Linked DNA regions of Diceros bicornis minor. The protein of the gene in region 3 interacts with the protein of the main gene of each other region in a pairwise test. Links are inferred from orthologs where the notes say so. Each region holds a gene or a part of one and is shown on either strand. Other genes may lie near its edges. The genes, in order: HIPK1, KIRREL2, FHL3 and SLC25A46.

Evidence for each region.
Region 1: the proteins of FHL3 (region 3) and HIPK1 interact in binary tests that used the Homo sapiens proteins (3 or more experiments, as listed by UniProt). The two-hybrid records come from large-scale screens. The link is inferred for Diceros bicornis minor from reciprocal best matches to the Homo sapiens genes FHL3 and HIPK1.
Region 2: the proteins of FHL3 (region 3) and KIRREL2 interact in binary tests that used the Homo sapiens proteins (3 or more experiments, as listed by UniProt). The two-hybrid records come from large-scale screens. The link is inferred for Diceros bicornis minor from reciprocal best matches to the Homo sapiens genes FHL3 and KIRREL2.
Region 4: the proteins of FHL3 (region 3) and SLC25A46 interact in binary tests that used the Homo sapiens proteins (3 or more experiments, as listed by UniProt). The two-hybrid records come from large-scale screens. The link is inferred for Diceros bicornis minor from reciprocal best matches to the Homo sapiens genes FHL3 and SLC25A46.

What each region holds. Positions count from the first base shown.
Region 1 is NC_080743.1:46,662,873-46,670,864, reverse strand, and holds the start of HIPK1 (homeodomain-interacting protein kinase 1), read right to left. Parts: upstream 3,003-7,992; 5' UTR 2,884-3,002; intron 1-2,883.
Region 2 is NC_080773.1:8,745,032-8,752,906, reverse strand, and holds the start of KIRREL2 (kin of IRRE-like protein 2), read left to right. Parts: upstream 1-4,862; coding exon 4,863-4,897; intron 4,898-6,406; coding exon 6,407-6,635; intron 6,636-7,077; coding exon 7,078-7,534; intron 7,535-7,752; coding exon 7,753-7,875. UniProt on the Homo sapiens protein: May regulate basal insulin secretion.
Region 3 is NC_080752.1:51,939,260-51,947,204, forward strand, and holds the start of FHL3 (four and a half LIM domains protein 3), read right to left. Parts: upstream 3,016-7,945; 5' UTR 2,944-3,015; intron 2,937-2,943; exon of another isoform or gene 2,860-2,936; intron 1-2,859. UniProt on the Homo sapiens protein: Recruited by SOX15 to FOXK1 promoters where it acts as a transcriptional coactivator of FOXK1.
Region 4 is NC_080740.1:33,690,333-33,697,777, reverse strand, and holds the start of SLC25A46 (mitochondrial outer membrane protein SLC25A46), read right to left. Parts: upstream 3,016-7,445; 5' UTR 2,932-3,015; coding exon 2,655-2,931; intron 2,568-2,654; exon of another isoform or gene 2,477-2,567; coding exon of another isoform or gene 2,428-2,476; intron 742-2,427; coding exon 699-741; intron 1-698. UniProt on the Homo sapiens protein: Transmembrane protein of the mitochondrial outer membrane that controls mitochondrial organization.

The DNA.
Region 1 (7,992 bases), on a different chromosome or scaffold from region 3:
CTCTCAGATTTATTTGGAATGACAAATCCATAGCAACAAAACAAGAGAAAAGGAGGTGCTTTTTGTGTTTGGTAAAAAGGTACTATCTTAGTATGTGCACACGACAGTCTATGAGGTCTAAAAAGGTTAGAATAAAGAAAACCATACCCTGAGGAGTTCTAGCACAAAAAAAATGTCACATTAACAACACACAAATCAATATAAAACATAAACACTGAGAGAGACCTCTGTTTAGATCAGCCAGCAAAGGACTAAGGAAAACAAGACTTAAGTAAGGTAACAACAATTAGGCATATGGAAGGTGGAAGAAGTTCTTTCAGATGAGTGAGATAACTTTTCCCAGCATGCCAGGGGAAGTGGAAAAATGAAAAACTGTTCAGATTAAGAAGATGTATTTGCTTGGAGCAGAAGACACTGGCAAAAAAGTACAGAGATTGTTATAGCTAAAACGGACCTTAAAAGACTCTCCAAAACTCCCTAATTCCAAGATGAGAAAAAGGAGACCCAAGAAAGCCAAACAAGTTTTATACAGAGCTAATGAGTGGCGATGCTGGCAAAGAATTCAGGTCTTCTGATTCTCTTCCGTTAAGCTCTCTGGGGACAGCACTATACCAGGTGCCCTTAAAGAACCCAAAAGAAATAGGCATAAGTTTCCCTATCTTCAGAGAGCTTACAATGTTGCTCAAGTGATATGACACGCAAGAAAAAAATATAAAAACAGGATGTAAATTTTTTTTTTAGTGCCAAATTATGCTCTACAAAAATACATAAGGCATTTAGGGAGCTGAGAGATTAGAAACAAAAACCAAAAAAGGAACCAAAGAGCAAATCAGTAATTGCTGAAGTGGTACCTGAAGGAAAAATGATTTTCATGGCTTGTGTTCAGAATGGCCTGAAATCTAAGGGAAGCAACTTGGAGGAATTAATAACTGTAACTCAAAAAAAAAAAAAAATCCTAAAAAAAGTACGGATTGCTTTATATAGTTATGAAAATGAAAATAAAAGAGTAGATCAGGAAGTTCATGTTTGCAAAATTACTTCGAATTACAAAAGGACCAGTTACAATATACAACTAACAACAAGTTGCACAAGTTCTAAGTGTAAGAAGTTTACAAGGCAGGCTCACTGATTTCTACCAACAACAACCACTGACTGAGCTGTGCAGATGAAAACAAAACCACGAATGAAAGAATTCTATTTTCCAGAGAATTTTGAGATTATCTTCTTTTTCTTTTAGGAAAAAAATCAATTTGCTCTACAATCTACCAATCAATTTGCTCTACAAACCATAAAACTACAACGTCCAAAGATATATAAAGTATTCATAAACATATCACCAGCAAAAGTCCTACTTACCAACCAGAGCCAGTATGTTTACAAAATCTCATTCACCGTTTTACCTCTCAGATGCTTTACTGGCTTGGCTGCCTCCAGTTCCAACCACAAGTACTTTACCAAAATATCCTTCAAGCCAGGCACAGTATCTTAAAGTCAATGATAGACTTCATCATACCAGTATTATAACACAGAACCCTGAGATAATTACATGTAAAGATCCAAAATCACCAGCTGAATAACAACTATTAGGTAAAAGGACTTGTTAGATTTTTTAAATGTTTTACAGAAGGCTTTAGACCTATATATGAAAAAAAGCTGGTAATAATTTGCATTCTCTATAATCTTTAAAAAAAACAACAACACTACAGACCAGGAATCAAAAATAGCTTTACACAAACAAGAGCAAAATTGTAGGTTTTGCTGAGGGCATCAGCAACTTAATTTAACCCCACTTCATCAGGAGCAGGAAGCCACGCTGCTGTTTTCATCCGAGTTACTAGGAAACAAGATAAAGGATAGACTGGGCAGAAGAGTCTATGGTTGAAATGAACAGTTTGATGCAATTACTGAAAATTCCCAAAGTGTCACTAAGAAAAAGCATCTAGGGCTGCCTCAAAAGGAGTTTCTCTACAACTGAGTCAGTGGTTTAAGTGGAGAAAAGACATATTGGAGCTTGGGGTTGTTTTTTCCCTTCTCTAGTCCCTCCTCCCTTCCCCCACCTAAACAGGAAAGAAAGCGCGCCCAGCATAAACACAGGCCAATGCTCACGGTTTGTCACCACAACAAACGGGAGGTTAAACCAGAGCTCCGAGGTCTTGGTTGCTAGGCACAAAAAAGGGCCTCTTTCTCACAGATCCGTGAACAGTGCAGGCCTTACCCAAGAGTTTTGGTTGTTTCCTCACCTTTTTTCTTTTTTTTTTAACGAAAGCTTTGGGAAAGTGGCGACAGACAGCAAAAGTTTCCCCCCAAGCCAGACCTCTAGATGTGCCTTGCACAGATATACATTAGGTGGGCTGGTCCCATGGAGTCTCCACCATTACAAATTACAAACCACGATTACAGAGCGTTCGCGGAGAGAATAGGAAAGCTCCCACACCCACCCCACCACCTCCGTCCTTTCCAGACACCGCTTCCTGGTCCCAAACAGCACAGATCACCCAAAACCATGGTGATAAGCAGAGCTGTGAAATACACACGCACAAGCCACACATTGAGACCCTGCCACGACAGCCGGGAAAAAAACCGGCCGGATGAGGAGACGCAAGGCGGCCTCCTGTCATTTGAGGACAACAACACGCCCAGGAGAGAAGTGGCAGGAGACAGGGGGAGTTGCCCCGAAAACGAGCCCGGAGCCTCCCTGGTTTTCCTGGGAACGCAATCCCCTCGGCGGCCGTGAGGGGCCGGGCCGCAGGAGGCGGCGCCGGGTCCGGATGGGGGCCAGCTGAGGGAAGCGCCCCCCGCAGGCCGGGCCGGTCCGGCCCCGCCTCGGGGAGCGGATAGGAGGTCGCTCCCTGCCGAGACCCCTTCCCGCCCGTCCCCACTCACCGCCGGTGTGTCTGGTTCTCAGCCGCGAGCTGGGGCTGCCGTGAGGAGGCGGCGGAGGAGACGAGATCCTGGGCCCCGCCGCCGGGTCATCATACCCCCCGCACGAGCCGGCCCGGGCCCCGGCCCCCGCCCCCCGGAGCCGTCCCCGCGCCCGTCCCGCGGGGGGAGCCCCCTCAGCCTCCCGCCCGCTCCGCCGCCCGGCCTCTTGCCGCCGCCGCCGCCTCAGCCCCGCGCGCTCCCGCCTCGGCCTCCCGCTGCCGCCCGGGGCCACCTCCGGGCCCCTCGCTCCGCAGCCGCCGTTGTCGCCAGACCCGATGAGCTGAGCGCCGAGCGGCCGCCCCCATCCGGCCGGCCCCGCCTCGCGGGAACTCTTCACCCGCCCCGCGCCATGACACCTACTGAGGCGGAAGTGCCGAGGAGCGGACGGATGAGAACTACCGCATAGTACTGGTGGGAGTGGGAGTGGGAGTGGGGGTGAGCGTGGGGGTGGGGATGGGGGTCCCTCCGTGGGGAGCCAGCCTGGACCGAGTGCGGGGGCGAGATTCCCCGACCCCTCCGCGCGGCAGACTCCGCGGTGATTTAAAGGTGCTTGGTGGCGGTAGGGGGTCCAGCCAGTGTGACATCACCACAGTCTGGTGTGACACCCCCAGAGATTGGGCAGCGCGCGAGGAGGCAGTGCCTACCTGGGAAGCCCCCCTACTGGTTGAGGAATTACCTCAGTTTAGGCTTTAATGTTTCGTTGCCATGTCGAGACGTTCTAGCAGAGTGACATCCGTGTATGGGATCTGTAAGCCTCCAAGAACATAAGTGCCCCTTAGTGGCTCACCCATTGCTGCCTTGGAAACCTGTGTTTGCATTAAGAGGTGAGAAAGAGTAGCTGTGCTCTGAACCCAACCCCTCAAAACATGCAGTGAGCAAATGCTACCATAATTTTCTTGACTCCACCAGGAGATAGTAAGGCTGGATATTCAGGAAATGGAATGCATTGGGCACATAACATTCTGAAAAAAAGTGGACACTGCGTGACAACTAGATTACCCTACTAAAAGGACAGTTGCCATCTCCCAAGGTCAAGAGATTCTGTAGGACTTCAGATATACCTCCTGCGGTGTAAAATGTTCTAATTCCTAAAGTGGGGGACATTTTTAGGGAGACAGGTGGTATAATCTATCTATTTTTTCTATCCCACAAGTGCTGGAGGCAGCAATGATCTGAGCCCTAAAAGTGACTGTCCAGCACCATAGGTTTTTGCATGTACTCTTTGAGGAGGGGGGGCAGATGTGGCTGAGACAAGATTCTGATATCAAACTGTATTTCTCAGATCTCATTCATTATACATCCTTGACCTCTGGATCCCCATCTCCTCACAAAAAGGTAATTTTTGTAAAGATGTGCTGAAGTGGTTGTACTACCTTTGGGTTTCTCGCCTGGCTTAGCAACACTGGGAGCAGTTCTATTTTATTGGGCACAGGGAAGTTTATTTCCCTAGAGGACTAGGGTTAGCAAAAGTGTTCAATCCCACAGGGTAGTTTTGTTTATTTTCACAAAAACTTAGCGAACACAGAGACCTACATCGGGGTGACCTGGGAAACATCAAGACATATAGAGTGGGCCAGTAGGCCTGTGTGGGGAGCCAGGAAAAAGGCAGAACTTGAGTTCTGGGGTAGAACAGATCCTGCTCCAAAAGCAGACTTGAAACACACACATCGCTTCCCATGCCTTGGTTCAACCTAACTCCATGACATGCTGCTAAGCTTCTACTTGTCCAAATTATCTTTCTTTCCTCTTTTCAAATACATCTCAAAATTCACCTTTAGGGAGCCTTTCCTGATTGACCCCCACTTTACTGTAATTGTTCAGTTCTGCGTCACCATCTGACTACTTAATTTACTTATTTGTACCTTATTTATTTATACTTGTTGATCTCTGTTTTCATTGTTCTTAGGTCATTTCCTCAGTCTATCTCACCACAAGACTTCTTAAAATCCAGTAGTTTCCTCTCTCTGATATCATTCATTTGTCATCCAACAAACTACTTGTGTGCCTGCTCTACACCAGGCACTCTCCTAGACACTGGGTGAGATGCAAGATGAAAAAGACTTGGTCTTTTCGCTCAGAGAGCTTACAGTCTAGTGAGGAGTAAAAAGCATGGGGACATATATAAGATTTGAATGACGGAGTCAGGGAACACATTCAGAGAAGGCACTATTTGAGCGTGGTATGGTCAAAGAAGTTTCAGAGTTTAATGTAGCTGGAGTTCATTTGTCCATTCAGCAAATATCTATTGAGTATCTTCTGTGTGCCAGGCACTATATTAGAAGTTAAAGATACAAAGAAGAAAAGGCATGGTCCATCCCCTGAAAGAGCTTACAGTTCAGCAGAGAAGTGGCAGGATATGGAATTCATAAAGTAGATTGAGTTAGATTTTTGAAAGGCAATGAAGAGCTATTAGAGGTTTGATCCGACAGGTATTATGAGGGAATCTATGCTTAAAGAGAGATCTGGTGGCAGCAGGGAGGTGGATAGCTGGCTAGAGTGGGTGAAGACTAGAGAAAGAGAGCCTAACTAGGAAACTATGATGAGGGTTTGATCCAGCAGGGAACACGGAGAGAGGGAGGCAGATATGTGAACTATCTCCTCCCAGACAAAGTCAGAGCAGCTGGAGAGGGGGATGGAGCTGTTGCTAGTTGGAAGCATTGAAGTCTCATCTAGGGTATGACATCCCCCTAGGGCCTAGAGCCTAGATTCATTGTTGCAGACAAGAAGTGACTTGCTCAGGAGCTGCAGTACTTAAGGCCAAGGAGGAGAAGCTCACCAAAGGCTGTGTCTTGAGAGAGGCTGAGTCACAAACCTAGGCAAACCATCCAAACAAGCAGTGAATCCAAGGGGCCAGGAGGAAAAAGAGAATTCAGGTAGAAGCCAACAGTTGTAAAACTGGGAAAACCACATGAGAGTGAAGATTTGAAGTAAAGGATAGGAGGCAGAACATGGAAAAATCCTTTGAACCTATAAGAAGGAATCCTCAATGATTCTTTTAATCTAGGCTCCAAAAAACTTTTTATTTGGAAATAATTTCAAATGTATAGAAAAGTTGCAAGAATAATAAAAAGGGCACCCATATACCCTTCACTCAGATTCACTTATTAGCATTTTGCCCCTTTTGTTTTAATATTTGCATTCTCATATAGGTAGACAGATAACACATACATACACACACATTTTTTTCTGGCCATTTGAAAGTAAATTGCATACATCATGACCCTTATCCCTTAATATTTGAATGTGTTAAGAATAAGTACCTTCTGTTACATACACAATATACACAATTATCAATTCCAGGAAACTTAACATTGATATAATACTTTGATCTACCATTTACATTCCAAATTTTGTCAATTAATCCAATAATGTTCTTCTTACCATTTTTTTCCCTTCCAGTACAAGATCCAGTTTAGGATCATATTTTGCACTTAATTGTCATATCTCTTTAGTCTCATTTAATCTGAAACAGTTCTTTAGCTTTTCTGGATATTTTTAAGAATACTGTCTTTGCTATTTTTAAAAATACAGTCATGTACGACATAACATTTTGGTCAACAACAGACGGCATATATGACGGTGGTCCTGTAAGATTAGTACCGTATAGCCTAGGTGTGTAGTAGGCTATACCATCTAGGTTTGTGTAAGTATCCTCTATGGTGTTCATACAACGACGAAATCTCCTAAAGATGCATTTCTCAGTATGTATCCCTGTTAACGAGGGCATGACTGTACAGGCCCTTTTTTTTTTTTAAATAATAGAATGTTCATCATTTGATGTTTGTCATTTATGTTTGTCTCATGTTTATTCATTATTAGATTCAGGTTATCCATTTCTAGCCAGAATACTACAAAAGTGATGTTGTGTCCTTCTCAGGATATCATACCCAAAGTCAGATGATGTGTGTGTCTCTCACTGGGTGATAATAATTTTGAACACCTTGTTGAGGCGTCTGACTTCTCCACAGTATATTTTATTATTTTTTTCCTTGTAATAAGCAATCTGTTTGGAGACACCTTAGACCATGCAAATATCCTGCTCCTCATTAGACATGTCCCCCTAGATTTAGCATCTATTGATGATTCTTGCCTGTACCAATCCTCCCTTATCTCTTATTAATTAATAAATTAATTTAGTTATCTAGTTATTAGTGATACAGACTCATGGATTACTATGTTTTTCAATGGTTTATAATTCCTTACTTTCTTTAATTATTTGGGTGCTGAAATTTTCCAGGTTTAGTCAGTGCCTTTTCAAGTTCCTCTTTTTTTTTTGGCATGTCCCCATAATAAGATGTTTCAGACTCATTTTGTAGTTTCCCTCCCCCAGTCCTAGAATAGCCATTTCTCTGAGGAGTCCTGGTTCCTTTTATGAGGAATTATATTAGAAAACAAGATCTGGAAACCAGGCCCACAATGATTTCTTATAGGATGCTTGTGGCCTTGGCTGTGAATGCCAACCCCGAATGGACAATTTCCCTTCTCGTCCCTTCCCCCAAGGTTGCAAGACTGAGGTGTCCCTAGGATTTTTCTTTCCAAGACTCCTTTAGGGTATCTTTAGCAAAGAAAGCTTGGGTAGGAGACTGTGGCAGACATTGTTCATTGCCTGTTCAATGACTAGTAAGGATTAGCTAACTGCTATGGCAAACAACCTCCACATCTCAATGGCTTAACACAATTAAGTTTTCTTGCTTGTCCACATTGTCAGACTATTGTAGGTGCTAGAGCTAAGTACCAGGGATGAGAGGGTTGCTCTGCTCAATGAGGTCATTCAGGGATTCAGGCGTCTTCCATCTAGATTCTTGCAGCTTCACCATTCCTTAGAGCCTTGGATTTCTCCACTGGATGCTTTGCATCTGGCCAGAAATAAAGGAAAGAAGAAATATGGATGATGGGTGTGGGAAGTTTTTATAGGCCAGGCCTGGAGGTAGCAAACACATACATCTCTTCTGCACACATTATGTTGGTGGGAACTCAGGAACATGGATGCTGCTAACTGCAGAGAGGTTAGGAGATGATGTAATCTAGCTGTGTTCCCAAGAGGAAAAGAGATATGATTTAGTAAAACAT
Region 2 (7,875 bases), on a different chromosome or scaffold from region 3:
ATTTTCCTAGGATTCCATTTAATTCTCATGGCGTTTGTGTCTTTTCCAATTTCCTGCCTAAACTCTAAATCTCCAGTATTTTTCATGAAATTCAGGTTTTTCCAAGATTTCCCAAGACTCTCTTTCCCAAGAGAGAGGTTTCATCCTTTCCCACTTTCCTGGCGACCCCACAGCCCTTGCTTGACACCCACCTTCAACCAGGTGAGGGAGGGGTCTGGGTTCCCTCCAATAGCCAAACACACCAGCCTCACCCGGGTCCCAGCCCGGAGGCGCTGCCCCACAGGCGGCCCCTCGATCCACAGCTTCTGGGCAGGATCTGTGGGGAGAGCCAGGAAGAGGGGCTTTTCTCTCTAGGCTCAGGCCTGAGGGTGTGGTCTCTAAGGCATGGGCACCCCTGGGCATGGGTGAGGGCTCACATTTCACATTCAGAACAAGCGACTTCTTGAAGGTCTCCTTGGTAAAGGCCTCACTGAAGGCCTCACATGTAAGGGTCAGACCATTGTCCTCTCGTCGCACCAGGAATGTCAGGTTGGACATGGAGATGTGGCCACCATGCAGGCCCTGGCAGGGAGCCAGCTTCAGACTTGGGGACTAGGGCACCCCTATCCATGGTACCAAAGGTCTGGGTCCACCCCAGACCACAGCAGGGACATATGAAGCATCTCCATCCCTCCATGTCAGACCCAAGAGGCCCGGACCCCAGTCCATGCTCCCCAAGGACCAAGGCATCCAGGATGACAGACCCCTCCTCTCCCAGATCCAGGAGTCATGCCCTCAGCTCCCTCCTCCCTCAGACCCAGGAGCTCGGCTCCCGCCTCACGTCCGTGACCGTCTCCTCTGTGGTCAGCAGTTGCCGCCAGCCCAGCCACCATCGCAGGAGAACCCGAGGGCGACTGGACTTGGTGATGCAGGAGAGCGTCACGTTCTTGTTCTCAGACTGGGATGCAGATCCCAGGATGGTAATGGCGCTGGGGGGAACTGCAAGATAATGGACAGAGGAGAGACGCCAAGCTGGGCTGGATTCCTCACAGACCAGCCCAGACAGATGAGGGACTGGGGACAGATGTCAAGGTATTTGGCATCAGACAAGCATGATTTGGGGCCACAAACATATGGTTCTCCGGGGCATGGACTGACAGATGGGCAGCTGCACCAGGACTCACAGGTGACCTGTAGTGTAACCCCACGTTCCTGGATCCCTGGAGATACGCTGTTGTGGGCCTCACAGCTGAGCCTCACCCCGTGGTCTTCTGGCCGTATGATCATCACTAGCAAGCTGCGGGCCACCGAGTGAGCGTGCTCCGTGCCCCACGCTGTGGACATGGGCTGGCCATTCTGGAGACAAGGACAGGCCTGGGTCAGCTCAGGGCCAGCTCCTGGCCCCCGCCCTTCCCCCCACCCCCACACCTGTCTCTGCCCTCACCTTCAGCCACTGCAGTGTCGCTGGCGGATTGCCCCCTCGGGCCATGCACAGCAGCTCCAAGGTCTGCCCTGCCCGCACATGCCCCTCATCCAGGCCTGGCCACTCAATGACAGGGGGTCCTGGGGGGACTGGGCAGCAACAGTCACTCAGTGGGCCTGGGGAGCCCATCCATTCTTTCCAGACCCCACAACCTGCCTCTGAACCCCCACATTTCTCCATGAGAACCCAAATCTTCCATAATCCCTGTGCTCCCCAGTTCCCCCAATTCTTCTCTGCATCCCCAGTGCCCACGGCTGACTCAGTTCCCACTTACACAAAACATTCATAGTGACTGAGACCTTGATAGGGGTGTCCAAAGCTGGGCTGGACCCCTCACAGACCAGTAACTGCCCATTATCCAAGCTCTGAGGTGTCACCCTAGGTGAGAAATTGGGGTTCTGGAGTCAGACACATCATCTGAAATTTAGGGAGACAAGGTGAAGAGATGGGGATCCCAGGTCCCCACGCCCGGTCTAAATCTCCCTGCTGATTTCCTCTAGGATCTGGAGTTCCATAGAAGAGATTAGGGGGTCATCAGTGAGAACTGGGGTCCTGGAGGCCCACACTTGGCCAAAATCTTTGTGCTTGATACCCTGGAACTGAGGTTCCCATAAAGAAGTTTTGGAGTGTCAGGGTGAAGAACTGGGTCCCAGTTGTTCATACCTGACCCAGGTTTCCATGCTTGAATCCTTGGGATGTGGGGTTTTCATGGAGAAATTTGTGGGTCAGGATGGAGGAGAGGGCGCCCCGACTCCCATACCTGGCTGTGGCCTCCGTGGTGAAGAGTTTCTCCTGGGACCCCGCATTCACGTTAGCAGAGATGTCTGGAATTATTTGTCCACCTTTGGGCAACAAGAAGGTTGGAGGGGTGCCAGGTTCTCCCCAACATAGATCTTGGGGAGCATGGCCTGAAGTCCTCAGGGTGAACACACTGCCTGCTCCCTCCTGGTTCTGGGGGAAAAGCACTAACTCCATTCCCTCCTGCCTCCTCAGGCCTCCCTCAGGCCTCCCTGAACACTGGAGTCCTCGGGACTGGGGCCTGGGCCTCTCCCTCCCCTCCCCTCCTTACTGGGTTGTATCACCCGCACCATCACCACCTCAGCTCCTTGTTTCTGCACCAACAATGACACCCATATCTCTGTCTGGAGCCTCAGCCTCTCCCCTGAGCCCCAGACCAGCAGTCCTGCCGTCTCCTGGGTGTTTCTCCCTGGATGTCCCCTCCCATCCACCAGGTCCCACACTGACCTCGGCATCTCCCCAAGCCTGCTCCTGCATCCCCAGCTCAGGAATGTCATGTATTCTGGGGCCCCTAGGAGGGCACTGGGCAGAGACACACCCCCTCCCACCCACTCCAGGGCTTCACATTGGCCCCACAAATTCACCCACACTCACTCCGGAGGAAAGTGATGTCGGGTGCTGGCTTTGCATCCCCAGACACACAGCTGACCTCGTACTCCTGCCCAGCCACCCACGTGACCGTGCTCCCTGCCTCGGGGGTCAGCTGAAGCACCTTGGGGGGCACTGGTGAGAAAGGGTCTGGGTTAAGCTGCCGCCTCGAGAGGGTTTGGGGGCTTATTGCTCGTGAAATGGGTCCTGGACCCCAGGTCTGAGGAAGGAGGGCTGAGGGCTTGGACTCCTGGAGCCTGGGGCAGGAGAGGGCTGGAGGTCCAGACTCATGGGTCCTGGGGGGCTCTCACCCATACCTAGCACAGAGAGAGTCACTCTAGGAGACACGAGCTCGGGGCCTGTCTCTGAGCGGCCGACCTGGCACTCGTACTCTGCGTCGTCGCTGAGGTCACATGCTTCAATGCGTAGGTGGAATTCCCCTGCAGGGGGGACCCAAGGTTCGGGGCCGCGGTCGGCCTCTGCTGGTGGCCCAGGGTCTCACGCTCTGACCCCTTACCTCTAGTGGGGTCCCCTTCCAGGCGGTACCGCGGGAAGCCCGGGATTCTGCGATCGGGGCCGAGCAGCAGCCCGTCTTTGGCCCACTGCACTGCACTGCCAGGGGCGCTGACCCCACACCGCAGCTCCGCAGCGGCCCCCTCCACCACCGTCGTGTTTTCAGGCAGAACCCAGAAGCCTCGGGGGGTGGAGGCAGGGATTGGCAACTGCGCCAGGCCTGGGGACACAGTGGGGTCAGCAAGAGAGGGCAGAGGGTCTGTCTGGAGAACGTAGGTGGGAAATGAGGGCCACTTGGCGCTCGGTCACAGGCCAGGATCCCACTCACCTGTGGCCAGCAGCCCCACGAGGAGCAGGGGAGCGCTGATGGGGATCCTCAGGGCCATCCCAGGTCCTCTTCCTGTGGCCCCACAGTGCCCACTGCCTGCCTCCTGCGTCTGCCTCTGTCTGTCTCTGGGTCCCTCTCTCTCTGTCTCTGTCTCTCGCTTTTCTCTTGCTCTCTCTTTTTCCGTCTGTCTCTTCTCTCTCTCTGTTTTTGTCTTCCCCTGAGTCTCTCTCCTTCTCTCCCTCTCTCCCTCTGTCTGTCTGTCTATCTCTCTCTCCCTGCCCTAAGTACCCTCCACTCTCCCACCTCCCGCCCTGTCTTTCTCTCTCTCTCTCTCTCTCCCTGTCTAAGGCACTCTCCCTCTCTCTCCCTCTGTGTCTGTCTCCCTCCTTGTCAGTCTCTGTTTCTCTTTCCTCTCTCCTGCCACCCCCACCCCTGCTCTCCTCTCACCATCACAGCCCCTCAGGGAGGACCCGCTGCTCAGAGTCGGGCAGACCCCAGAGCCCAGGAGAGCGACGAGGCCGACATGGTCAGTGGCTGAGTCGGGCCCTGTTCTGGGACCAGGCTTGATCTCTCACTGCTCCCTCCCCCAGGCGCCCTCCCGAGTCCCCAGCTCCAGGCATCTGCCCAGCAGGCTCCTCCCGGCCCAGCTGGAACATGAAATCCACTGTCAGCACATGCCAGGCACATTCCTCGGTGCCTCCCTAGCCCCCACGACCCCAAGGGCCTGGCCGGGGCCAGGGACAAGGGGGAGCAGTCAGACCCAGGCGGTCCCAGCTCAGCATGGGGGACAGAGAGCTGGGCCCAGCATGGGGGAGGACTCCCCGGCTCTTCCCTGCCCTGGTACATGGACTTGGCAAGTCCCTTCCTTCCCTGAGTAGACATCAGCCCCTTAGAGACATCAGAGATCTCTGCTGGGGAGTGTGCAAGAGTGTGTGTGAGAGACTGGGAGAGTGCAGATACCTGTATGCACGTGTGTGTAAAGTGCATGTGAGTGTGTGAGCGTGTGTGTGAGCATGGGGAGGGTGAGAGTGAATTGTGATCCGTGAAAGGGTGTGCAGAGTGTGTGAGTGTGTAAGAGTGTCTAAGGAGTAAGTGTGCCAGGTGCAGGGCAGTCAGAGTGGGGCAGAGTGAAAGGCAGGGTCCAGACCCCCAGCACTAGTTCTGGGTATAGAGATGAGCCCAGTGTGGGAGCCCTTTGGCAAGAACTGGTGAGTTCGTTTCTTGTAGCTTCCCTCCATCTCTCCTGTCTCTTCTTTCCTCTTCTGTGTCTCTGTCTCTCTTCCTCCCTCTACCCATCTCGATTTATCTTTCTATCTTTCTCCGTCTCTTTGAGACTCTCCTCTCTGTCTCAGTGTCTTTCTCTCCCTCTCTCTCTCTCCACTAGGTGTTTTCATCTCCACCAACTTCTAACCATTTCACTGTCTCTATATCTGCCTCTATGTGTCTGTTTTTCCGTCTTTCTGTCTCTGTTCTCATCTTTATCTCTCCCCCCCACTCCATACTCTCTCTCTCACACACACCAGAAGTTCAATAGTTGTTCTCAGTCAACCTTTGACTGTGCCTCTTTCTTTTGTTTGTTACTCCATCTCTTCTGATGGTCACGTCTTTGAATTTGATAACCATATGCTGGTTGGCCTGCCTTCCCCACCCCAGTGTGCACATACGCGCTCACAGGGGATAAGCTTCTTCTGCCTGCTTATCTCCTGCAGGAATTGGAACTGCTCGCTTTCTCTCTCTCTCCCCCCTCAACCCCCCATCTGGTCCTCCTCCAGGAACAAGATGAGGCATCTGGCCTGAGCCCCCACAGCTCCATCCTTGATGCTCCCTTTAGTCTTTCTCCTCCCCTCCCATTATTGACTCCTTCCCCTCCTCCCACATTCCCTCTCCCACTGCCCCCACACCTCCTGGGGAATGGGCTGGATGCAGAGCTGGAGGTTCTGTCGTAGGGGCCCTCACCAGATGGTGTCCCCCGAGGCCAGGGCGTAGAGCTGTCAGCTGCTGGGATCTTTAATTAGCACAAACCTTCCACCCTCTACCTTGGCTGTTTTCATCCTCTGGATGCTCCTGGGACTTCAGGCTCCATGTCTGTGGCTCCAGAGAGCCAGGAAGGGGAAGCGATGTCAGGTGTCTGGAAAAACAGCCTAACTACCTGACTTCCTCCCCAAGATTCAGGAGTCCTGGCCCCAAGCTCATCATCCTATTTCAAAATCCAGGCACTGAATCCCCAAAACAGAAAGCAGGAGTTCAGGACCACAATCCTAGAAGTCTGGGCCCCCAGGACCCATCCCTAGCAGACTCAGGAGTCCAGGCCTGCAGCCCCTTCTCCCTGAAGACCCAGGAGTTCAGGCCTCCAACCCTACCCCCCATACACACAGGACTTAGGGCAGATGTTCACTGTCTGCTGATTTTCAAATCCTCCCGGGCCTGTGTGGGGGTGGGAGAGAGACTGGTGGTTAAATCCACCCAACTCTAAGACTTAAGACCAGATTTTCTGACCTCCTGTCTTCCTCTCCCAATTGCACCCTGCTACAGGCAGGGGACCTAGTGGAGTCCCCGGCTCGTCAGAAACTCGGAATTCAGGCCATTAGCTTCTCAGTCAAGAGAGGTCTAAACCCCAGTCTAGAATCCTGGGAGTCCAAGCCCCTGCCATTTAGGGACGCAAGAATCTGAGCTCAGGAATGACGGAGACCCTGAGTGTGCACCCCCAGTCCCTACAGGCTCAGGAAGGTCAGACCCAGAGTCCCAGGCCCCCAGTTCCCGCTCAGTGGGCTCGGGGTCCCGCCCACCTGCCTGGCCAGCTGCGCAGCGCACCGGCAGGCCTGCAGCGTGGGAACGCCCCAGCTGGGCGGCAGCAGCCGTCAGGACAAGCTGCGCGGTTCCCAGCCTCCGCGCCTGCCCCCAGCCCGGCACCGCGCCGCCCAGCCGTCGCCGGGCAACCGCGGCCGAGTGGGGCGAGGGGCTGAGCCCGGACTGCAGGGTCTTGCGAAAGGAGGGGCTGGGGGCCTGGATTCCTGGATCCTAGGACGTGCTTTAGTTTGCAGCGGTAACAAGGCAGGCAGAGGGATATTTTGAGGAGGGGTTTGGGGGCGGGGAGAGCTGAACGCCCCCTCTTCTCGGGGGTCCCAGCTGCCCCCCAAGCCCCCTGGTGCCCTCTTCCTGACCCGCAGGCCCAGGGGAGCCCCAGGCTCCGCCTCTCCAGCGCGCGGAAACTAGCGAGGCCCCAGGAGCTCCCATTTATAGCTCCGTTTCCACTCAGCGCTGTCCCTCCAGGCCCGGGGCTGAGCAAGTTTCTTCCACTCCCTGCCCTCCCTCCTCCTCACCCCTGGCCCCCCCAACCCCGGCAGGATGCAGGTGTCCAACCCAGCCGGGACCCCCTCCTTCGACCCAGGTGTTCCGGCTCCCAGACCCCAGTTGGGCTGGGGCGCCGGCACGCCGGGGGCACCCCGCCCTGCATGCCCCCATTCATCCGCGCCGCGGCCGCGGGAGCTTCTCAATGGGAAGACGGCGGGTCTCCCGGGGGCGGGGCGGGCCGGGGCGGGGCGAGCGGGACCCGGCCCTCCCGGGGTCTCTCCCAGACCCGGCGCGCGGGACTGGCCGGCGCTTCAGCGCCTCAGAGCCTGCGGCGGAGCTGACTTCGGAAACTTCAGGCCACAGACGGGGTGCCTCTAGCCTGGGGCGAAGAGTCGGGCGCGAAGGGGGCTCAAGGCCGAGAGGTGGGAGGTGTGCTGCCAAGGAAGGAGTTGGCAGGGAAGCCAGTGCAAAAAGTCCGCTGCATCTTGGGGGCCATATACTCAGGATGCTGGTTCCCGCCCTCCTCCTCTTTTTCTGCCTCAGAGGGCGTGCAGGTACCGCACGGGGCCGGGGGTGGGGGGCGAGTAAATATGGGGGAGGATTGTTTCCAGCTGCCGCTCTACTGGGGTGCATGGCGCTGAGGGAGGAGAACTCTGGGAGCCTGGGCTTCCGGGTCTGAGGGAAGAGGGGGCTGGGGACCAGACTCCCGGGTCCTGAATGAGGGATCTCGTGAATGTGCTAAGCTCAGCTGTGCTGCCCCCCATTCTCCTAGGCGGGTCACCCCACTTCCTGCAACAGCCGAACGACCTGGTGGTACTGCTGGGGGACGAGGCCCGGCTGCCCTGTGCCCTGGGCGCATACTGGGGGCTGGTTCAGTGGACTAAGGATGGGCTGG
Region 3 (7,945 bases):
CTGGGGTCTTCAGTGCAGGGACTTCTGGGGGTGGCGGCTATGCTGTAAGGTGGAGGGTACCCCTCCTTCTCAGTCCGCTCCCTGCCACTCAGGCCCGGGGTTTCCTCTGGCCCAACATCTAAGGATTGCCTGGGCTGTCAGCCACTGGGCAGCAGGGGGCCGCACAGGTGGAGTGTGGCCATGTGTCCATCCAGGAGTGCCCTGGGCCTTTTCCTTCCTTCCTGGCTTGGCTCAAAGCAGCCGCCACCTTCCCAGGCCCAGGCTAGCCCTGGGTCCGCCCCCTGGGAGGCAGTCACCACTCTGGGACAGGGGCACCCCAAATAGGGTATGGGCGTGGCTTGTTTCCTTCCCAGAATCCCCTAGTCCCCCTAGTCTGTCCAGCTGGGCTCTAGTGAGGACAGAGTGAAGGGCACTATCAAGGCCCACCTGTCTCTGCCCATCCCCCGCCCCTCCCCCTATCCCTGGCAAGGCTGGGGGACTGGAGGGAGCCAGTCTTGTATTCCTTCATGGCTGGTGGTGGGGTGAGGGGAGACTGCTCAGTCTGCCAGATGGCTCCCAGCCCCTGCCCCCACCAACACACACACACACACACACTCCTACACCTGACTTAGACACACACATTTGGCACCTCCTAGAGCTCAGACTAGTGGGATAAATGGCTGTGGGCATGTGGTGTGTAGACGCTCAAGCTGGTAAATATAAAGCTGGGCGATCTTGGGCAAATCACTTAAGCTCTCTGAGCCTATTTTCCCATCTAATACTACCTCCTAAGGTAGTTGTCAGGCTTAAATGAGATAATACTTGGAAAGCGCTTGGCAGATAGTAAGTTGTCAGTAAATAGTAGCTATTAGTGTTTTTACTATCAGCCCCTCATTCATATTGGGGTCAGACAACAGTTTCTCAGCCAGGCCTGGGTCAGGGAGCTGCCCTGGCATTTGACATGGACATTCTCAGTGTAGGCCCAGGGAGAGAACAAAGAGGGAACCCCCTAGTTCTGCTGGGGGTACTGAAGAGGCCCAGGCCATGGGGTTCGCTGAGACCAGATGGGCCAGCCTGACTTCAGTGAGCATAACTGTGAGGCCCCTCACACAGGTACACAGGTGTACACACCTGCATGCTGCTTTGCCTCTCAGAAAGTGCATTCCCACCCACCGTCTCATCAGATCTCACAAAAGGCCGGCAGGACAGTATATTATCTCCATTGTACAGCTGAGCACAGAAGCTAGGGACAGGGCAGGGGCATGCCCAAGGTCACGCAGATATCAGAGAGCCCAGGTCCCCTGCTTCCCAGCCTGGAGTCCTTTCCTGTCTCTCTTTCCCTAGAAATGCTGCAGTGGTGGTGGAGGGGGTGGTCACCATTTAAGAGCAGGGGGAAAGGAGATGTTGGGTGACATCACTAGCACAGGAGCCTGGCTCTTCTCCCCAGCTGCCAGCCCTGCGATTGGAAGACACCCAGAAGCCTTTCCAATTACCCATGCCAACTGCTCAACCCTTTTGCCCCCCTCCACTTCCCACTGTCCAGGAGGACCCTGGCCAGGCCCCACAGCTGTGAGTCAGGATCAGAACAGACCCCTCCCCCAGGTCCCAGGAGTCGACAGGAGACTTCAGGGGAGAAATCCAAATCCCCCCCCCCATCCCCTGCCACCAGGCACCAACCCCAAACTCTCCACTCTCCCCTCCCCTCCCCCCATGGGGCCTGGGATTTGGAGCAGTTTAGGGGAAGGGGGATGGGAAGCAGGATCCAGCAGCTGCTCTGGGGACAGGAGAGGAACAGTTCATTCACCCCAGGTCTCCCAGGGCTGAAGCAGCACGTCCAAGATTTGAGTTTAAAAATAAGTTGGGGTTGTCTTGGTACACACGTGGGGCTCCTCCTTGACTGCAATCTTACTGTCTCAGGTCCTCTCCTCATGGGGACTCAGTGGGCCCAGAGTTTCCGTTTCCCCACATCCTTGCCTCCACAGCCCTCATCTCAGGGTCTGTCTTGGAAGCTGTCAGTGCGCCTCCATTAACCTCTGTCTTTTGAGTCTAGCTCTGGTCCTCAGCACGTCTCTGTATCCTGCACACTTCAGCAGATGTCTCTACGCTGTGGGTGTCTCTGTACCTCTGACTGGCTATCTCCCAACAGCCCACCTCTGGATTTCTACCTCTGAACACCCAAGTCTGCCTCTCAGTGTCTCTATGGGGCGGAATGTCTTGGTCCCCACCCCACCCCCCTTCTCTACCACTCAACAGCATCTCTATGCCCGAGAGTCTGTCTCCAGTCTCTGAATGTCTCCAAAGGCCTCACAGAGCCTGATTCACCACGAGGCTAAGGAAGCTTAGGCTTCAGGGCCCCTCACTTGCCCAGGACCCTCGAAGGCCCTGGGAAGCATCCTAGGACGTGTTCACTGGCGTCACTGTATGCTTTTTCTTAAAATGCTCCACAAAACCTGGGTCCGTCCCTATGCCTCGGTCTGTCTCTTGGGGAGTGTACGGCCAAGTTTCTGTCCCCGTTTTCGGGTATCTCTGCAGCTACCACTCGAAGCCTGTCGTCCCTTCTTTCCCTGTCTCGGGTTCTCGCTCCTCTGGGCTTTCTGGGAGCCTCAGTTTCTCGAACCCTCCCAGACTCTCTCTCGACTCTGGCTTTTCCATTTCAAACTTGGCCCCCTCCTCCGCCCCACTCTCGAAGCAGCCCCCGCCCCGCCGGGCGACGGGCAGCGGTGCGGTCCGGGGGGCGCCCTCTGGGGCTCAGCGTGATCCCGGCGCCCGCGGCCGGCCCCGGGCGGGGGGCAGCGGGCGGGGGCCGCCGCCACTCCCTCCCCGGCCCGAGGGCGGGGGCCGGGCGCTGGGATTCGGAGCCGGGGTCGGCGGGGAGCTCACCTCGACGCGGGCGGCAGGAGCGGGGCGAGGCGCTCGCGCGGGTGGGGCGGGGACCCCGGGGCCGCGTCCCTGGGCGGCTCCTACCTGCGGGCCGGGCCAAGCGGGGGCCGGACGAGCTGCCGGCGAGGCTGCAGGCTGCACACGGACTGTGTGGGCGACTGGGAGCCCGGCCCCAACCCCTCCCCGAGGAAGTGAGCGCGGGAGCCCGCCCCGCCCGGACCCCGCCCCCGGCCGCCCCTGCCCTCAGGGTGCGGACCCCGCCCCCGGCCCCCCATCCCGGAGGCCGGGGGCCAGCCCCCGCCCCCACCTCCCGTTTAGACTGGAGCCCGCCCCAGCCTCCCCGCTCCAGCCCAGCCTAACCTGGCTCTCCCAACCTTCCTGGGCGGCCAGGACCCCGCCCCTGTTCCCTCCCTGCAGCTTTTGCCGTCCTCTCTCCCTCCCCTCTCCCCCTTCCCCCCACAGCTGCAAGCGGGAGACTGCTGTATTCGTTTCAGGCAAGGGGTACAGGACCCAGCCGACCAAGGTCTATTTGAGAACAGAGGGTCCTCATGCCCTCTTCGTGCCCCCACCCCCCCATTCTACCCCCAGGGGTCACACTCAGCCCGAGTTTGTAAAGGAGGCCTTATCCAGCCTGGAGGAGGGGGTGGTTTTGACTCTACTGTCATGGCCCTGTCATGGGGACCAAGGTGTTCTCTGGAAACACAGAGTGAAGAGAGGACCCCTCTCCCTCCCATAGGGCCTTGACCTTCAAAGGGCTTTATTCTACAATTCTGAGTGGCAAACAGAAGTAACCACCTCCTCACCTCCAGCTGCATCCTTGGACAGAGAAGTCCTGCCTCATTTCCACTGTGCCCAGGAATAGTTTTGACCTTTAAGGCCCAGGGGACACCCTAATCCTTGGCCCCATGATTTTTGGGCTTCTTAGGGAGGGGTGTGAGGAGTGTGTGTGTGTATGGATGGGGTGTTGCAGGGGTGGTGGAGGGAAGTGGAGGGAACCCCTCCTCCCCCACCTCTACATTTTCCAACCCTCTGGCTTCCTCCCCGTGCCTGGGAGGGAGGACTGGCGCCTGCCAGGGACACAGGCCCCCTCCAGGTCCTTGAGGCCAGCCCCCTTGGGATCCTCAGGCTTGTCACTAGGAATAAATAGCCTCGATCTGGAAGCGGGGGGGGGGGGGGGGGGGGGGGGGGGGTGTAGGAGGAGGCTCTACTGTGCTGTTTGCAAAACAAACTAACCCTGGAAATAACCTCTGAGTCTAGAGTAGAGATTCAGGGGCCCACAGAGGCTCTCCCATCCCCCAGACTGGGTCTAGCCACGCTCTCAGAGCAGAGTGTCAGTCCATCCCAGGCTGGAACTCCTGAGCACCCTCCTCCCATCTCTGAATCACATGCTGCCTTCCCAGGTCCAAAGTCACCCTAGAGGCCAAGTTTCCTTTCAAAGTAACTAACTGCTTGTTTATAATGGTTGTTGCAGCTCCCTAAACTGTAAGTGCCATGAGGGCAGCGACTGGGTCCTTCCTGTTCACCACCACATGTCCAGTACCTACTCCAATGTCTGGTACATAACAAATATCTGATGAATGAATGAATAGCAGGCACTACTTTAGTTTGGACCCCCACCCCCCAGTTTGGACCACAGGCACCCACTATCTGGAGTCCAGGGAGTGAGCAGCCATCCTGTGAGCTCCTAGCCCTGGGAAGCGCAGGGAAGACTCTGGTGGGAGTAGATGGCAAGAAGGGGTCCGCTCTGGGGCGAGGGGAGGGCAAAGGTGAGCAGCCTTCAGAAAGAGAGGGGTTATGAGTGAGCAAGGAAGGTGCTGGACCAAAGTAGAGTTAGGGTCTCTGGTTTTTACTCACAGCTTAAATTTGCTGAACAGCCTTAGTAAGAGCCAATTATTTCCTGAATTCTTACTTTGCACCAGTCCCTGTCTAAGCACTTTACATATATTAATGCACTTGATTATCCAATGACTTTATGAAATATGTATTTTTAATCCCCATTTTAAGGATGAGAAAATGGAGGCGCACAGAGAGTAAGTAACGGCCAAGGGTGACAGCTAATAATGGCAAAGCCTAGATTCAAATCCAGACAAACAAATGTCAAAGCTCCTTAGGCCAAAAAAAGAGCTTAACCATTATGCTCTACAGCCTCTGTAGTCAGTTCACCTCTTTAACCTTCAGTCTCCTCATCTGTTAAGAGTGGTTGACCCCTTGGGCCAGCCCTGGTGGCCTAGTGGTTAAGTTCGGCACACTCCACTTCTGCGGCCCGGGTTCGGTTCCTGGGTGTGGACTTAACACCACTCATCTGTCAGTGGCCGTGCTGTGATGGCGACCCACATACAAAAAGAGGAAGATCGGCAACAGATGTTAGCTCATGGCGAATCTTCTTTAGCAGGAAAAAAAAAAAAAAAAGAAAGAAAATAATCAAAGTGAACAGAAGTGAGGACAATTATAATTAAAAAAAAAAAAAGGGTGGTGGACTCCTGTCTCCCAGCATTCTTGTGAGGACTGATGAGAGCACACAGTAGGTATTCAACACGTGGGACTCTCCCTCCCTACCTCCCCCCTTTCAGGGTCAAGTGTTAAGCTTCTGCTATTGCACTTGGAGTCTGGAGGCCAGAGAAAGTTAGGAGAATTCTGATGTGGCCCAGCGTGGGGGAGGGAGACTGGTGTAGGGCAGGGCCTGTGTCTTTAGCTCCCCAGTGGGCTCACATTTCCCTGCTTGCTCTATTTCCGTTGACCCCAGAGGACGTGCCCCAGAGAGGTCTAGGGATCAGCCACATGGACTCCCTGTTCCTGTTCCCTGTCACTCCTCCCCCCTCTCCAGGAACAGGTGTGTCTGAGGCGGGGCTGGAAGCAAAGACTAAGTGCTGGATGACTGGCCTTGAGTAAGTGGGATCTGATTATCCCTTCACCCACCAGGAGGTCCCCATACACCCTTCCTTAGCTTGTGGTGGAAGGGGGCTTCCAACTGTTCTCTCACCTCGAAAGAGTTTTCAAAAGGAGGCCCTGGGTGACAACTCACAGGCCTCTCATGGTTTCCTCTGGGTGCTGAATCACTCTCCGATGCTTGTAACCACAAGCCCTCCTTCCTCCAGTGTGAAAACTTCCTTCCTTCTCTGGGTATATTGCTCACTCTTACCCGTTGGGCTGCCTAGAGCCCCTGCAGGCCTCATGGCTTAGCAGATTCCCACGTTCAGATTGCCCAGAAACACTTTCATCGTGATCCCAAGTCTGGCAATGAGTTTGTGGGCACAGAGGATGAAATAAGTGACTTCTACAGCATGAGTGTGGGGGGTAGAAGGAGAACTCACATGTGGTTAAATGCCAACTACATGCAGGGCACTGTGCTAAGTGCTAGTTCTTACCTCCTTTAGGCCTCACAAAAGCCATAGGAGGTGGTGGTCATTATTATCACCATTTTACAGAGTAGGACACAGGCTCAGAGAGTTTGACAATGTGGCCCCAAATCACAAGCTGATAGGTGGTTGGTGTCCAATTTAAATCCAGGGCTGACTCCAACGTTCCGCCCTCCAGTGTGCAGAGCTGCCTTCTCCTGGGTATGCCCTCACTCAATGCTTTCCTCAGGGAAAGTGGCAAGAGTGACTGGGGCTGCCACCTGGTCACCCTGCTTGATGGCTGGGCTTCTTAATCCAGATGAGGCTGGAAAGGTGGGCATGGGCCAGATCATGAAAGGTCTTATCTTTCAATGGTTAAGTGACAAATGAGATGGAATTTTGTTAATGCACGTGGCCCTAGTCGGGCTGGGCTCAGACTCAGAAGCTGGAAAAAACTTTTTTTTTTTTTAATAATTTTATTTATTTATTTTTTCCCCCAAAGCCCCAGTAGATAGCTCTATGTCATAGCTGCACATCCTTCTAGTTGCTGTATGTGGGAGCCAGCCTCACCATGGCCGGAGAAGCAGTGTGTCAGTGCGCGCCTGGGATCCGAACCCGGGCCGCCAGCAGCAGAGCGCACGCACCCAACCACTAAGCCACGGGGCCGGCCCCTGGAAAAAACTTTTTACATGGCAGATCTCAGCTACTTTTGTGCCTACTTGTCTCCTGGACTGGCACCTCTGGGGAATGAGGAGAGAATTTCCCCAGAGCTCCTCAGCTGGAGTTTTGGGCCCTATCATAGGAAATGGGTGCAACTGCAGAACTTGCTGAAGGTTAGTTTCACGTGGTGGAAAAGAAACCAAATGCCTCTGGAATGCTCTTCTGTGCTCAACCTTCTCTCTATCCTTAGAGGTAGGTTTAGTAATAAAAAAAATAATAGCTCCAATTGATTGTGAACTTGCTAAGGGGTGAACGCAGCATTAGGCACTTTAAATATATTATTTCATTTAGTCCTCACAACAATCCTGTGGGTATAGTATTATCATTACCTCCATTTTACAGATGGGGAGACCGAGGCTCAGCAAAGCTCACTGCCTTGGCTGGTAGCAGTTAGGATGGTAACACACCTCCATGTTTCTTGGTCCTAATCATTACATTATACTGTCTCTGACACTCAGTCTGTCAGTCAGCCATTCCCTTGAGGGTGTGAGGGACAGAAGTTTATAACTTCACAGATGTTAAGTCATGATATGACTCTTCCATTCAACTGTGGGGCCCGTTGATGGCCCTATGAGGCAAGCAGTGCATGCTATTATCCTCTTTTTATGGATGAGAAAAACGATGCTCATGAAAGTCAAGTGACCTGTCAAAAGTCACACAGCCAGCAAGTGGTAGAGCCAGATATGGTTTCAAGGTCTCTTGCCTCTCCACAGAGTGCTTTCTGGTACACTGTAAAATTCTCATGGCTCTTAGGTTTAAAGGCGCCTCGTCAACGCGGCAAGGGCAGTGTCGTAGGTGACTGCGCATGCGCACAAACCAACCCCCAGCTCAGCCTAACAGCAGCGCCAGCCACGTGTGCCCAGGTGCCAACGCGCAGCCGAGCGCGAAGGCGAGGTCTCAATACGTGGGCAAGCTCTGACGAATAAGACCCGGTTCTTGTAAAGTCACGAGACTAGACCTAGGGAACTACACTTCCCAGAAGCAGCCGGTGGTGGCCGCCTTTGCTAGAGGGCGTATTTCCGGAGAAGTAG
Region 4 (7,445 bases), on a different chromosome or scaffold from region 3:
ATATATCAAATGAACGATAGCTTAAGTATAAACAGTGAGGCTAAAGAAAAATTAACTCTAGCAAAAGGAAAACTTTAATACACAAATTTTGTTTCTATTGACATTAACATCTCAGGTTTAATTATGCAAATAAGGTCATTTTTTCTTGATTAAAATGTGTAAAACAATGAGCTATTCTGACAGGAAATCTAAGCCTTTGTGCAATTCCAACGTTTTTGAAACAGTATTCACTAAAGATCACAAAATCAAAACTGGAAGATTTTCTTATACAAAATGATCATTAATCAAAAATGGTGTTCATTAAATGCTGATTGTAAGTGAAATCCAGATTCTATGTTGCTAAATATCTTATTATAATTCGAATGCTTACGGAAAAGGTTCAATGCACAATTACTTTTTTTGGAGAGGGAGATAAGATTAGATTTTATTTTATTCTTTGGCTAGACACATGAAAATTCTTACAATATTCCTTACAAAATTATTTTGTGATTATAAAATTGAATGACTATTCTCTATCCTTACTGAAAAAAGTTATAGGTTTTAAACAATTTTTTCTGCAAAATATTATTCAATATTTAATCTACTGCTCTAAAGACTCAATCTAAAGAAGCAATACTAATCATTTAATATTATCAATTACATTAAAGAGAAAACTTTAAATAAAAACTTAAATTAAAAATCTTTAGATAAAATATTACCTTGCAAGTCCAATTCCAAATCCAGCAAATCTATTCAACTGTTCTAAAATAGAAGGAATAAGATTACTTATAACCAATACTTAGGTTTACTGTAAAAACAACAAAAAATATTTTCTTTTATTAACATGATATCCATTTAAACTCCAGGTCCCAAAGTCAAATTCTGATGGGGGCCAGGGAGGTGCTTTGAATGAGTCAAGGGCTCTGTAGGGGCTTGTGGCAAGTTGCAAGGTAGAGACTTTTTTCTAAAGGCACAATTGCTCTTCAGCTCCAATTCATTGTTGCCACGCGGGACTGTGGGCCCAGGGTTTCTAAGCTGTGATTTTTCTAAAAAAGATATTCATATTTTTATATAGTATCTTCCAATTTTAAAATACTGGCAACTATTTTAAAAAGCATTAAAACATTGTGTGGGCCAAATCAACATGTCTGTAGGTAGAATCTAAGGGCTATCAGTTTTCAACTTCTGACTACAAACGACTTAACATTTTTTCTGTAGAAGGCTTTGACAGATACTTATACCAACTTTACCTTCCATGTTGTAAAATTAGTCATTCACTGTGACTCGTGGAGAACATCTATGTGAAACCAATAGTCACAAGTAAAACACCTCAAAATTATTAAACTGAAAGAATACTTACGGTAACCAAAAAATGGGTAAATAAAGCCCTCTTCTTCTCTATCTCCCCAAGTTTTAGATATTTTGAGAGCAGTTGCTTAATTAGATCTCTGTGATAGGCTACTGGGTACCAATGTGCTACTCCTGATGGCATTTCTATAGTCCTATTAGTAAAGTTTACAGCTGGAAACATTCCTATGCACATGTCAAAACAGGAAAAAAAATTTTCTCCTTGACTAAAAAACCCAAAATCACAATGGTGAAATATCACAACCCCAGGGGACTAGACATTAAATTTCAGCTATAATACAATATTCACAAGGGATAATTTTTCTCTCTCCCTCTCTTTTCTCACTCCCTTCTCCCATCTCTGCTCTCTCTCATCTCTACTCTTTCAAATGAAGCCATGTCCTCGCTATTCCCTTACAGTCAGAACAAGGCCAGGTAAACATGTCTCTGGGGAAACCATCCGTTCCCTCTTGCCTTGAAAAATATCCAAGTTAGATAGAAGCTTCTTTTGCCCAATAAAGATACTTTCCTCCTTTCAGTTTTTCTCTTTTTGTGTGTACACACCATCCCCTAATATTAACAGAAAATATCAACTGATATTTTCTGGAACGTTAGGAAAGTTTACTATTGTTAACTGTATAAGTCTCTCAGGCTTCTATCTTCCTTGCAAACTTACATTAACTAAACTGCCGTAAAAAAAAAAACAAAAAACAAAACCCGATGTTTTATTAAGAGCTCCTCATTATAACCATCAAAGCATAAATTATGAAAAGATAAAAACATCAGCTTTACTGCCAAAGAAGATAACTCTGTAGCAATCATATATGCATTTTGAATTGTTTAATTTATAACTTTCCAGTACTCTTTTTGGGATCTATAGAAAGAAATTAATTGCAATTGAGCCCAAGCCTGCCTATGCTGAAAAACTTCCCTTACCAGAACACAAAGATACAATTAATTAAATCAAGGAAATAGAACTGTCAGTGAATTAGGTATTGTTCACAGATTCCCAATAAGCAGTAAATAACCCAATTTTCTTCTTTCTTGATTCGGGTCATGGGATGTCATACTCCAAAACCCTTCGAAATTCCTACCACGCACCCGAAGCTAAGGCAGGTGTCTTTTTTGGAGGTGATCCCGGAGGGAACATGTGTGAGAGGAAGAGGGCGGAGGCCCGCTCAGGCGCAGAGGACGAAAGGAGGGCAGAGGGTGTGGCGCGCGATAGGCCGAGAGGCAGCGGAGGCGGGACCCTCGGCGCGGCTTCCGGGGTCCGCAGGCCGCCGCTCCGCCACCCCACCCACCCCTGCCTTGCCCGCCGCGTCCCTCACCGCTGCTCTGGCCCGGCACGCCGCCGCTGCCGGGAAGCGGTTCCTCGGCGGGGTCCTCGAGCGGGGTGGAGGGGGCGGGCACGCCGTAGGGCGGGCTCTTCTCGCCCCAGTGCAGGTTGCGGCTCCCCGGGATGTCTGGGGGAGTGGTCACCCAGTGGCTCAGGTCCGAGGCGGTGCTGTAGGACCTTGCAGGGAAAGCGCCCCCAAAGCCCTGCTCATCCCGGGCACCACCCCGATAGCCCAAGCCATCGAATCCGTCCGGGCGCCGCGGATGCATCGCACACGGGGCAGGATGACGCGAGCCCACCCGGAGCCAACCGCCACTGGGGCCACGGCGACCTCGGGCCACGCAGCTTCTCCTCCACCGCCGCTGCAGCCGCCGCCGCCGCCGCCTCCGGGGAAATTGACAACCGGAAGTCACGTTGCAAACCCGGACGTCCACGGAGCACGTGATCGAGGTTTCTTCCGGTGGCCATTAGCGACACGGTTGCTAGGGAGACGTGGCGGTAACCTAGGGCCAAATCTGAAAACTGTCGCCGTGAGGGAGGAGGTGGACGATGGCTGCAGAGTTAATGGAACACATTACCAAAGAGATGCCAAAAGGGAACTGGGGTGGGAGGTGCGGCCTGGATGAGAGGAGGTCGAATAATGATGTTTCATTGAGGGAGATAACGCGTCGCTGGAGCTGACTCGCTGAGATCTCAGCCAGAGATGCCCCGCCCCACACAAAGGCCCCAGACCCGGGTCTTCTGTTTCCTCGCTGGGCTGGCTAGTGCCTCTCCTACCACAAGGGAGCTATTAGAGGTTAGAGGTGCGGGGTGTTGGCTCCATCTGACTTTGCCTCCCGCACTTAGTGTTTTGGGTAAAATCTATTGAGAGATCTGGTGCGGCCCAGTGAACGCAAAGGTGCTATGGGTGGCTAGAGCAAGCGTTAGAAAACGTCGGGGAGAAAAGCGCCCCTCTTCCCCTCAGTTCCCGCGCTCCCCCCACGAATAAAAAGTACCCGCCGGGATTTAGGAACTAAGCATTTTGCTTTTCTAAGGCCACAAAACAACTATAAATAGTTTTGTGTAGTTTTCTGTCTGGTGCATCTAAATCACTCAGGATATTTAAATCCCAAGCGATATCGTTCAAAATGGAGACCCTAGCTGAAAAATTAAGAGGACTCCTGAAGAGAGTCCCCTACTACCTGTTTGCGTCAGCTCCATGGGCTCTTCGGGCAGAGCCGCTCACCCGAGATCTGATCGAGCCTATCATGGGTTCTTCCTGTGTCCTTTCTTCCCCACCGAAAGCCCAGGATTCCGAGGGCTTTCAGAAGAGAATCCTGATGCCTGACGCACTCTTCTCAGTCTTCCAGACGCGAATGCTTATTCAAAGTGATAATCAACTTCGTCTTGAGTAGATTGACATTTTCAAATTGGGTTCTGATGTGGCTTGGGCAAATGTATTGAATTTCTCCCTTAATAAGTGTTTCCAGTATTACTCGAGTACTAATACCAAATTACTGGGTAACTAAAATCAGTTACTTGGCGTGACAATAAATATTTCTCTGTTCCTTAGGAATGATTGGCTGAAGGATGGGATTGGCTGAGGTTCAAAACTAATTGTTATTAAAAGGAGAAGGAGAAAAAAGCCTCTGTGTGACTGTGTGTGTGTGTATGTGTGTACTTTTAACATAAAAACAATGGCATCTCACAATGTCACATCCACATCAGTGGAGAAACGATGAATTATTAAAAGGAGGACAACTGGGTAGCCAGTTGAGGGGAAGAAACAATAACTGGCCCCCTCACAACTTACTCCCAATAAATTCCAACGGTAATATATTGTATTTTTTCTTTGTTTTTTTGAAGATTGAATATTGGCAGAAAATAATAGGTGAATATTTTTCAAATAGTGGATTGGAAAACTTTCTCTTTTTTTTCTTTTTTCTTTTATTGCAGTAACATTGGTTTATAACATTATATAAATATCAGGTGTACATCATTATATTCCAATTTCTGTGTAAATTACATCATGTTCACCACTAAAAGACTCATTACAATCCATCACCGCACACCTGTGCCTAAACATCCCTTTTGCCCTCCTCTCTCCCCCTTCCCCACTGGTAACCACCAATCCAATATTTTTCTCTATATGATTGTTTGTTGTTTATATCTTCTATTTATGAGTGAGATCATATGGTATTTGACTTTCTCCCTCTGACTTATTTCACTGAGCCTAATACCCTCAAGGTCCATCCATGTTGTCACAAATGACCAGATTTCATCCTTGTTATGGCTGAGTAGTATTCCATTGTGTAGATATACGACCTCTTGTTTACCCATTCATCCCTTGATGGGCATCTAGGTTGCTTCCAAGTCTTGACTATTGTGAATAATACTGCAATGAACACGGGGGTGCATGTATCTTTACACATTGGTGTTTTCACGTTCTTTGGATAAATACCCAGCAGTGGAATAGCTGGATCATATGGTAGTTCTATTCTTAATTTTTTGAGGAATCTCCCTACTGTTTTCCACAGTGGCTGCACCAGTGCACTCCCACCAGCAATGTATAAGAGTTCCCTCTTCTCTACATCCTCTCCAACACTTGTTATTTCCTGTCTTGTTAATTATAACCATTAAGACGGGCGTGAGGTGATATCTCATTGTAGTTTTGATTTGCATTTCCTTGGTATTTAATGATGTTGAACATCTTTTCATGTGCCTGTTGGCTATCTGTATATCTAATTTGGAGAAGGTCTGTTCAGATCTTTTGCCCATTTTTTAGTTGGGTTGTTAGTTTTTTTGTTGTTGAGATGTATGAGTTCTTTATATATTTTAGATAATAACCCCTTATCAGACATATGGTTGCAAATATCTTCTCCCAATTGTTAGGTTGTCTTTTCGTTTTGTTGATGGTTTCCTTTGCTGTGCAGAAGCTTTTTAGTTTGATGTAGTCCCATTTGTTTATTTTTTCTATTGTTTCCCTTGCCTGGTCAGGCATGGTATTTGAAAATATGCTGCTAAGACTGATGTCGAAAAGCACACTGCCTGTGTTTTCTTGTAGAAGTTTCATGGTTTCAGGTCTTACATTCAAGTCTTTAATCCATTTTGTGTTAATTTTTGTGTGTGATCTACTTTCATTCTTTTGCATGTGGTTGTCCAGTTTTTCCAACACCATTTATTGAAGAGACTTTCCTTTCTCCATTGTATGTTCTTGGCTTCCTTGTCGAAAATTAGATGTCCATAGATGTATGGGTTTATTTCTGGGATCTTAATTCTGTTCCATTGATCTGTGTGTCTGTAATTGTGCCACTACCATGCTGTTTTGTACTATAGCTTTGTAGTATATTTTGAAATCAGGGAGTGTGATACCTCCAGCTTTGTTCTTTTTTCTCAGGATTCCTTTGACTATTCAGGGTCTTTTGTTGTTTCATATAAATTTTAGGATTCTTTGTTCTATTTCTGTGAAAAATGCTGTTGGAACTTTGATAGGGATTGCATTGAATTTGTAGATTGCTTTAGGAAGTATGGACATTTTAACTATGTTAATTCTTCCAATCCAAGAGCATGGAATATCTTTCCATTTCTTTGTGTCTTCTTCAATTTCCTTCAACAATGTTTTATAGTTTTCAGTGTACATGTCTTTCACCTCTTTGGTTAAGTTTGTTCCTAGGTATTTTATTCTTTTTGTTGCAATTGTAACTGGGATTGTATTCTTAATTTCTCTTTCTGCTACTTCGTTGTTATTGTCTAGAAACGCAACTGATTTTTATATGTTGATTTTGTGTCCTGCAACTGTACCTTATTCATTTATTATTTCTGAAAGTTTCTTGGTGGATTCTTTAGGGATTTCTATATATAAACTTGTATCATCTTCAAATAGTGACAGCTTCACTTCTTCTTTTACAATTTGGATCCCTTTTATTTCTTTTTCTTGCCTGATTGCTCTGACTAGAACTTCTAATACTATGTTAAATAATAGTGGGGAAAGTGGGCATCCTTCTCCAGTTCCTGTTCTCAGAGGGATAACTTTCAGTTTTTCTCCATTGAGAATGATATTAGCTGTGGGTTTGTCATATATGGCCTTTATCATGTTGAGGTACTTTCCTTCTATACCCATTTTATTCAGAGTTTTTATCATAAATGGATGCTGTCACTTGTCAAATGTTTTTTCTGCATCTATTGAGATGATCATGTGATTTTTATTCTTCATTTTGTTAATGTGGTGTATTGTGTTGATTGATTTGTGGATGTTGAACCATCCCTGCATCCCTGGAATAAATCACATTTGACCATAGTGTATGATCTTTTTAATGTATTGTTCTATTTGATTTGCTAGTATTTTGTTGAGGATTTTTGCATAGATGTTCAGTGATATTGGCCTATAATTTTCTTTCTTGTGTTGTCCTTGTCTGGTTTTGGTATCAGGATAATGTTGGCTTTGTAAAATGAGTTAGGAAACTTCCCCTCTTCCTCAATTTTTTTGGAAGAGTTTGAGAAGGATAGCTGTTATGTCTTCTTTGAATGTTTGTTATAATTCACTAGGGAAGCCATTTGGTCCTGAACTTTTATTTTGGGGAGGTTTTTGATTACTGTTTTGATCTCCTTACTGTTGATTGGTCTATTCAAATTCTCTATTTCTTCTTGATTCAGTTTTAGAAGGTTGTATGATTCTAAGAACTTATCCATTTCTTCTAGATTGTCCAATTTGTTAGCATATAGCTTTTCATAGTATTGTCTTACAATCTTTTGTATTTCTGAGGTGTCCGCTGTAATTTCTCCTCTTTCATTTCTGATTTTATTT